Danio rerio: one gene and its partner. The protein of the gene in region 1 purifies or fractionates together with the protein of each later gene. This does not show direct contact. Links are inferred from orthologs where the notes say so. Each region holds a gene or a part of one and is shown in the gene's direction. Other genes may lie near its edges.

Region 1 (3,828 bases):
AAAAAACTGGAGAAACTGATGTAACAACTTCATATATTTTCTTTTTGCTCTTTCTATTAAATGTAATGCTTTTACTGCTTAACTTGTCAGAAGTGAATATTTCTTTTCATTCTGTGAAGTATCTTTGTAACATAAACATCTCACTATGATTTCATGTCACTGTGCTCTCTTACAGTTATTCGAGCTACTGAATTTCTTGGCTGAGAACTTCATATTTTCCTACATGGGCTTGACATTGTTTACCTTCCAGAACCACGTCTTTAACCCGATCTTCATAGTGTGCGCATTTGTATCCTAAAACTTCATCTTTGTGCCTTGGCCAAAAATAGCCAGAAATGAGACAATAGTAAAAATACTCTCAGCAATTGCAAAACATGTGGAAAATCTGATGAAGTACTATTATTAAAAGCCACATATTTGCTCACGTTGGACGGCAGTACTTTGCTTAAGCGCCATCAAGGAAGTGGCTGGCTGTTGTTGAGTGATATGTCCAGGGTGTTACAGCTCATTGTGTTTCCCAGAAATCAATGGCCCAGAACTGTTTTTTTTAAATTAACAGAGTCCTCAGGAAGGGCACAATGTCCTGGCTCCGAAGGGATTGTAGATGCAGTCAGTGCAGTATTAGCTTTATTTCTGCAGTTTCTCCTTGACACTTCTCCTCCCAGCTGGCCGTGTTTCTGGGCAGAGCGGCGAACATCTATCCACTCTCTTTCCTGCTGAATTTGGGCCGTAGAAACAAGATCAGCTCCAACTTCCAGCACATGATGATGTTCGCAGGTTTGTGCCTTGAGATTGGTAATAGCCAGCCAAGATTTAATCTTTGAAGAGAAACAAGGTAAAAGCCAAAAGTCGTAAGGTTAAGTGGGTTAGACTTGAACCAATTTTGTGTGTTTGTTTTTCTTGATCCTGAGTTGATCCTGAAGTTAGCTTCCAAATTCAAATCTGTTTAGTTGATTAATAGTTTGAAGAGTGAAAACTCAATACAAAGCACTTCCATATGAGATCTAAAAATGAAAGTCATTCTCTGACTATTATGAATGAAAGGTAATTTTTTTTTCAATTTGACTTATACGGATGTAGATTAAGAGGATAGTTCAGCCCAGAAAATGTAATTCTTATCAATCATCAGCTAGGTGTGAACTTTTGAAATTACATAAAGTGTGTTTGGCATGCTATCCCTAGAGAGAGCTATGAGCTCATAAGATCCTCAAGCCCTGGACTCCCTCCTGTCAGCAGGGCGAGAGGTGAGTTTGAGCTCTGGTAGATCTTAATGAACTCCCCCGACTTATTCCTGGCTAATGACAGATAAAGGGACGCTAAAGAGAGATATACAGCTTACTAAGAGTTAAGCTATGATGCCAATTTAGAATGTTCAATTTACTTTGGTTGCATGTTTTTGGACTGTGGGAGGAAACTGGGGAACCCGGGAAAAACCAACACGAGCACAGGGAGAACAAGCAAACTCTGCACAGAAATGTGAACTGGTTCAGTAGGGACTTTAACTTGTGACGTTCTTGCTGTGAGGCAACAGTGCTAATCACTGGTCTGCTATGTTACAAAATCTAGAAAGGAGAAGGGAGTAGGGTGGGAGGGATTTCAAGATGAAGATACTGAGGTAAGAAACTCTGGTTATTTATAGTGAATTAGGAATCATCTGATTGGTGAATCATGTGTTAGCTAATGCAGGACCAGCTGTGGACAATCATAAGCACATGATTAGTTTATAAATAAACTTCACTTAGTCTTCCTAAACTTATGTTTTTTTCCAAGATATATTAAATCATGATTTAAATAAAAAGACTTTCCATGTACAGTTGATGTCAGAATTATTAGCCCTCCTGAATTAGCCCCTTTCCCAATTTCAGGTAAACTGAGATATTTTTTTTTTCTAAACATAATAAATGTAATAACTAATTTAACTGATTTATTATATCTTTGCCATCATGACAGGACATAATATTTTACTAGATATTTTTCAAGACACTTCTATACAGCTTAAAGTGACATCTAAATGCTTAACTAGGTTAATTATACAAGTTAGGGTAATTAGGCAAATCATTGTATAATATGGTTTGTTCTGTAGACAATTAAAAAAAAAACATTCTGCTTAAGCGGGCTGATGATTTTGACCTTGAAATGTTTTTTTTTTAATAAAAACTACTTTTATTCTTGCCAAAATAAAGATATAGGCTTTATAAAATAAGACTTTATGCCGAAGAAAGAATATTACTTGAAATGCTGTGAAAATTTTCTTGCTCTGTTGAACATCATTTGGGAAGGATTTGTAAAAAAAAGTAATAATTTGGACTTCAACTGTATGTAGTTTCTGTGTTATTAGTTTCAACTAGTGGAATTACAAAAATAAAGTAGATTTTCACAATTGTTGTGAATTCCCCTTAGGCTTATCATGCTCTTTCTTTCTTTTTCCTACCACATTTTACTGTTTTATGATGAGCTTGGCAGTACAACGTATACTGCATATGGGTCAAAAGTTTAATCATAATAGGTTAGCATCAATATTTAAACTTTTGCGAGAGACAAACCCATGAATTGTCTACTTAAAATAGTCACTAAACAGATAACTAAGTTAGGAAAATTATTTGTGATTGAAAGAAAATCTACATTCTTGACCTTAAACTGGGTCAACAGGTCAGATTTGCAAAAAAACAACATGTATCATATATGTCAACCAATTATGCAGCCTTTTTTGTTATTGCTCTACCTCTCATTAGGTCTTCGTGGTGCCATGACTTTTGCCCTGTCCATCAGGGACACAGCTACATATGCACGGCAGATGATGTTTTCTACCACGCTGCTGGTGGTCTTCTTCACGGTTTGGATCTGCGGTGGAGGCACAACTCAGATGCTGTCCTGTCAGAAAATCCGGTCAGTTCCAATCTCACCTTTAGCCTGAACGACCTTTTCCTGTCATGTAACATACGATGGGAATGAGTAACTCATTAAACGTGGCCTTTGTTCTTGTTTTTGTCCATTTCTGTGCACAGGGAATAATATGTAGACATCCCAAGCCATTTAAAACTTGGCTCTGAACTAATTAGACAGCTAAAATGCTAATTAGAAAGGGATGAAATTCAAACAACTTTTTCTTGTTAATTCCTGGTCAAACCAAGGATGTATGCGTGTGCGTGCGTGCGTGTGTGCGCGTGTGTGTGTGTTTGTGTGTGCGCGTGTGTGTGTAACAGTACTAAAGTCTTCATCACAGCTATGATGTTAATGCTATAAAGGAACAGTATCTTTTTTTTGTTTGTTTATTCGGTTCATCTTAGTTCAGAAATCATGCATGGATACAATGCACCAATCAAGAAATTATCAGGAAAACATAATTATACACTAAATGATTATATAAATAATAAGGTAAAATATCCAATTTGTTAGTTACAACTGCTTGTTAATGCAAGTTTCCATCTTGCCTTGTATCAACGGTTCAGGCTTGTGGTGGTGGTGTAATAGCTTAGGGGATATGCCTTTCTAAGAGCATGTAAAAAGGCTAAAAACTAAAAAGTTGCAAAGGCTACAGTACATCAGCCTGTACTGAATTTAAGAAGAATTTTAATCAACACTGTTAAGGGGTTTGGGTCTATTGATAATGAAAAAAACAGCAGAAAAACACCTGAAGTCTTTCTCCCAAAAGGAACAGAATATTTAGAATTAAAGCAACTAAAGCAAGACAATCAGAATCCTGTTTTAAAGCGCTCAATATTTTAAAGGGCAACATTTTATTATAATTAATAAACAGAACATTAAAGTTGTCTTTATAGTCATAATTATTGTTGTCAACATGTGTTTTGTTTTTGACAGTGTTGGAGT
Region 2 (4,620 bases), on another chromosome or scaffold:
CTTCTTGCTGTGAGGTGACAGCACTACCTACTGTGCCACTGCGTCGCCCAACAAGCAAATATTATGTAATATAATATAACAGTGAGATACATGTCGTTTTAATTGCATAGTGTCAAGATTTGTTAGCTGGCATCTAAGAACCAATAGCTAGGATGTTGTTGACTACTTTTCAATCCATATTGCTTATACATGCTAAACACTATGAGGATGTGAGGACTACACTGTGATGTCACTGGATGGTGATGTCATGAATAGTGATGCAAAACTGTCAATCAATATAATATGTCCCTTTGTAGTATTTTTGAAGGATGTAAACAAAAACAATGGTCTTAGCATATTTCCTGTTTTACATGTTTAACTTGTATAGCTTCCGAGAATCCAAAAAGAGCCACATATTGATAAATAATGTTATGACAGCGGTTTTAACATTATGATATGGTTGAAGTGCCTCTTTTACAGTTATGAAATAGTTTGATAACAAGCAGGAAATGTTCATAAAATACAGAATGAGATTGTTCAGTAATGCACATAAAATAACATTTCAAATATGTTAATTTAGATTTTCTTGAAAGGTGGATTAAAAAAAATGAATTATTGAACTGCTACATGAATTTGAGCAATCATATGTAATTTATTTTCTTTTAAACTATAAAACTTAATTAAATCAATAGTTTCAAGTAGTGTATTTAATTGTTATGCAACTGTAAATGCAAGAACATAAAACAGGGCATAATGCACTGTTTATATAAAGGATGTATTTATTCATTTATTATTTAATTATTTGTAATTTACAGTCATTTATTGTTATTTATTTTTAACAGTATTTTAAATTATGCATTAAGGAAATCTATGCATAATTGTTCTCGAGACAAGCAACTCTGATGTGTTTGGTTTCCTCTTTTTTTTATTTATTTAGTCGTTTAGTTAATTTAGTATATTTATTTATTTTTCCCCAAAATAACTGTTTGGCATTAGTAAACTTAGACTAACAACCCTCGTTTGATCGTCTTTTAATTTCTGAGTTGCCAAAGCACACCTGAATACGATTAATATTAGGCTACTTTACTATTTGAGTAGAATTCACCTCGCAAAAACGCAGCATGTTACAACAATACACTTGTATCTTTGTAAGAAATACGAGATATATGATTGAAACATTGTATTTAACATACAAGATACATTGTAACAGCATTTGGGTAAATAAATGCAGATATAATGTTTTACTTATTTAAATATCCATTACGTTTTACTTATTTAAATCTCCATTACGCTCCGTCGCGGAGCAGCAACAGAAAAAAAAACATATTCAAATAGCAACCACTTACCTTTACAGCTTTCAGACGCATTAAGTACAAATAGGCAATTAATTAAATACCGCTTGTGCTTTATTATTAATATGCATAACTTGGGAGGCGCTAATTTCATCAATGGCCAATAGCATTCTCGATTCTACGGCGCGTCACGTCGTTATGGCTGGTGACGTGTTACGCTTGCGGAACAGGGTGTCAGCGTCCTCCTCTCTGCGGCTGAAGCAGCAAAATTTGAAGCCAGAATTATAGGCTAACAACCATACATCTATCCTCGTATGCAATAACAACATCTTGAATGAATTTGGGATGGCTGCGACCGACTGGTACGCGCACAAGTCGCTGGAAAACGGCGTGTTTTGGATCCAGGAACGGTTTTATGAATCGGGGAACAGGGCGAATATCTGGCTCATTCGCGGTTCTCATCAGGACGTCGTCATAGACACCGGCCTGGGTTTACGGAGCCTGCCTGAATACATCCAAGAGAAATCGCTGCTCGGGGACGACGCGAAGCGTAAAAACCCGCTGTTGGCCATCGGCACACATGTGCATTTTGATCATTCGGGTGGGCTGCATCAGTTTCAACAGGTGGGCGTGCACAAAGCGGAGGTGGACGCTCTGGCCAACGGTGACAACTTCGAGACCGTGACATGGCTCTCTGACCGCGAGATTGTGGAGGTTCCTTCGCCTGGATGGAGAGCCAGGCAATACAGAGTGAAAGCGGTCACACCAACCCATATATTACAAGAAGGTGGGCTTGTAATTACTTGTAACTACTGTGCCAGTGTATGCAACATTATACGTTTTAAGCACATTTTTTATGTGTGCATGCATTTATGCACCGTTGCAGGGTTCAAGGCATAATCTATTACAGTAGTAAAATACACTGAATTGCATGACTTCATTCTGGGCATCCTTATATAATATCTTTTTGAAGAGCTCCAGAGAAAGATCGAAACAAATCAGATCATGCTAAACTCACCAGAGGACATGTCAGTGGTTAGTGAAAACCAAGCCGACTGTCTAATGTGGCTTTATAATCTGCCTGATGGTGGAGAATGCAGCATTATAGTGGACCACTGGCAGAAACCCAGCGGATGCAGAGTAAACCACACATGACCTCCTCCCCGTAATTCTCAGTCAATGGACTACTCTGCAGTGAGTTGTACTCAGTGGTGGAAAAAGTACTGAAAAATCATACTCAAGTAAAAGTACCTTTACTTGCCTTAAAATGCAGTGCAATTAGATTAAAATTATATGTTGTAAATCTTACTCAAAGTATGAGTAAAAAGTAGCTCTTTAAAAAGTACTCAAGAGTAGTGAGTATTATGCCGTGAAAAGCTGATGCGTTTACATGTAATTTGTGTATGTGTGTAAACGTAACATTCTGTAGTGCATCTAGTTATAGCCCAGCAGGTACACAACGCCATAAGACGTTATTATTAGGTTTGACTTAGGTTGTGATGTCAGTTGACCAAAATTCAATGGCTAGCCAGCGTTTAAGGACAACATTATTTCGATGTCCAATAATGACTTCAAGTGATGTTGATATTTGGATGGTTTTTAGGCTGTTAGAAAGTGACCAAAATCCAACATCAAGCCAATATCTTTAACCTTTATCATAATAACATCAAATACTGACATTTAATCATCTGGTATGGCAACCAAAATCCAACATCTGATAGACGTCACAGTGGTAACGTCCACACAACGTCAAGCTGTAACAACATTAGACTTTGATATTTGGTTGGTTTTAGGTTGGACATTGATGTTGACCTGACATTGAGTTCTGAAGTCAACCTGACGACATGTTGACGTCTTGTGCCTGCTAGGTGTTTAAGGCCATTTTGGTCGTCATACAGTAAACATATGTGATCTTTTCATCAGTGACATGCATCTAAACAGTCTCTGGGTCAATGTGTGTAAAAATTTTGGGCATTTTCTTGGACACTTTTAATGCTTCCAAAAAGTTTGCTGTAATTATAAAGCACTCATGTTTTGAAGTAGTTCAGTATGATGCGATTTACCCTCTATGTGCGATTTGAATGGACAGAAATCACAGGACAGATTTTTCTGATCCCCATAAACAAGAAAGAACTAAAGTAGTGACTGCAGGTTGAAGGAAAATAGTGGAGTAAAAATACTGATACAGCACAAAAATTTTACTCAAGGAAAAGAAAAAGTACACGTTTTTAAAACTACTTAGTAAATTACAATTCCTGAGAAAAATTACTCAATTACAGTAATTTGAGTATTTGTAATTAGTTACTTTACACCACTGGTTGTACTATTGCATATGAATAGATCTGTTGTCACTGTCTGTGAACAAATTGCATTTTTAATTTGGCATTGTATTGCATTTTTTTTAAATATCATTGTGATCTAAAGACTTAAGGTTATTCAAGATATTGTAGTGCTATCTCAAGCAAATTGAACTACCAAAAGTGCTGAATACAGTATACATAGTATGTGTGTGTTAATACATATAACATTTTTTAATCAAATTTTATGTTAAATAAATCTATAATAGTATTTCAATAACCCTTAGACCTATCAGCTTGCTGTAATTTCATTGCAATTATTTGAGACCGCTGTGGAAGATTGTGCAGTTCAACATTTAAAATAGGAAATCTAAACAAATAGCTATTGTTTATTTCTTAGCAGATTGAACAAAATAAAAATTATATTATGTTATATTATGACATACTTTGGAAATAAAGAAGACAAAAACATAAATATTTAACAAAATATAAATATAAAAATTATAAATATAAATATAAAAATTATAAATATAAATTATAAATAAACAATGCATAAATATTTTTTAGCTGTTTTCCACTGCATTAAATGAAATCAAGTGGGCCTATTTAATTGTTTTGCAAACTGAGTCTGCTACTGTATACATTTTTAAAAAGTCAATTAAATTGTTCGTTACGATTATTTGACAGAAAATTAAAATCTAATTTTCTTAATAATAATAATTATAATAATAATAATAATAACGTTTTTTATCGTAGCTTTTATTTTGATGGAAAAATGCAAGTAAAAGACTTTTTTATAGCACTTAAATTATGTTTGTGTGAGGCAGCATTTACTGACTTAAATCAGTATTAGCTTACAAGTGAATGTACAGTGCATATGGAAAGTATTTATAGCGCTTCACTTTTTCCACATTTTTAATTTTAGAGGAATTGGCAAAAATTCCTAAACACAGGTGTGCCAAGCTTGTGGCATCATATTCTAAAAGACTTGAGGCTGTAATTGCTGCCAAAGGTGCATCAACAAAGTATTGAGCAAAGGCTGGGAATACTTA

The links.
Region 2: the proteins of slc9a6a (region 1) and mblac2 purify together in Homo sapiens (co-immunoprecipitation; 3 studies listed by BioGRID and IntAct, counting the BioPlex papers as one, with this or other methods). This does not show direct contact. The link is inferred for Danio rerio from reciprocal best matches to the Homo sapiens genes SLC9A6 and MBLAC2.

Annotation. Positions count from the first base shown.
Region 1 is NC_133189.1:36,152,601-36,156,428, forward strand, and holds part of slc9a6a (sodium/hydrogen exchanger 6a precursor), read left to right. Parts: intron 1-175; coding exon 176-289; intron 290-665; coding exon 666-777; intron 778-2,732; coding exon 2,733-2,886; intron 2,887-3,819; coding exon 3,820-3,828. UniProt on the Homo sapiens protein: Endosomal Na(+), K(+)/H(+) antiporter. Mediates the electroneutral exchange of endosomal luminal H(+) for a cytosolic Na(+) or K(+).
Region 2 is NC_133180.1:52,720,408-52,725,027, reverse strand, and holds the start of mblac2 (acyl-coenzyme A thioesterase MBLAC2), read left to right. Parts: upstream 1-1,616; coding exon 1,617-2,058; intron 2,059-4,620. UniProt on the Homo sapiens protein: Acyl-CoA thioesterases are a group of enzymes that catalyze the hydrolysis of acyl-CoAs to the free fatty acid and coenzyme A (CoASH), providing the potential to regulate intracellular levels of acyl-CoAs, free fatty acids and CoASH.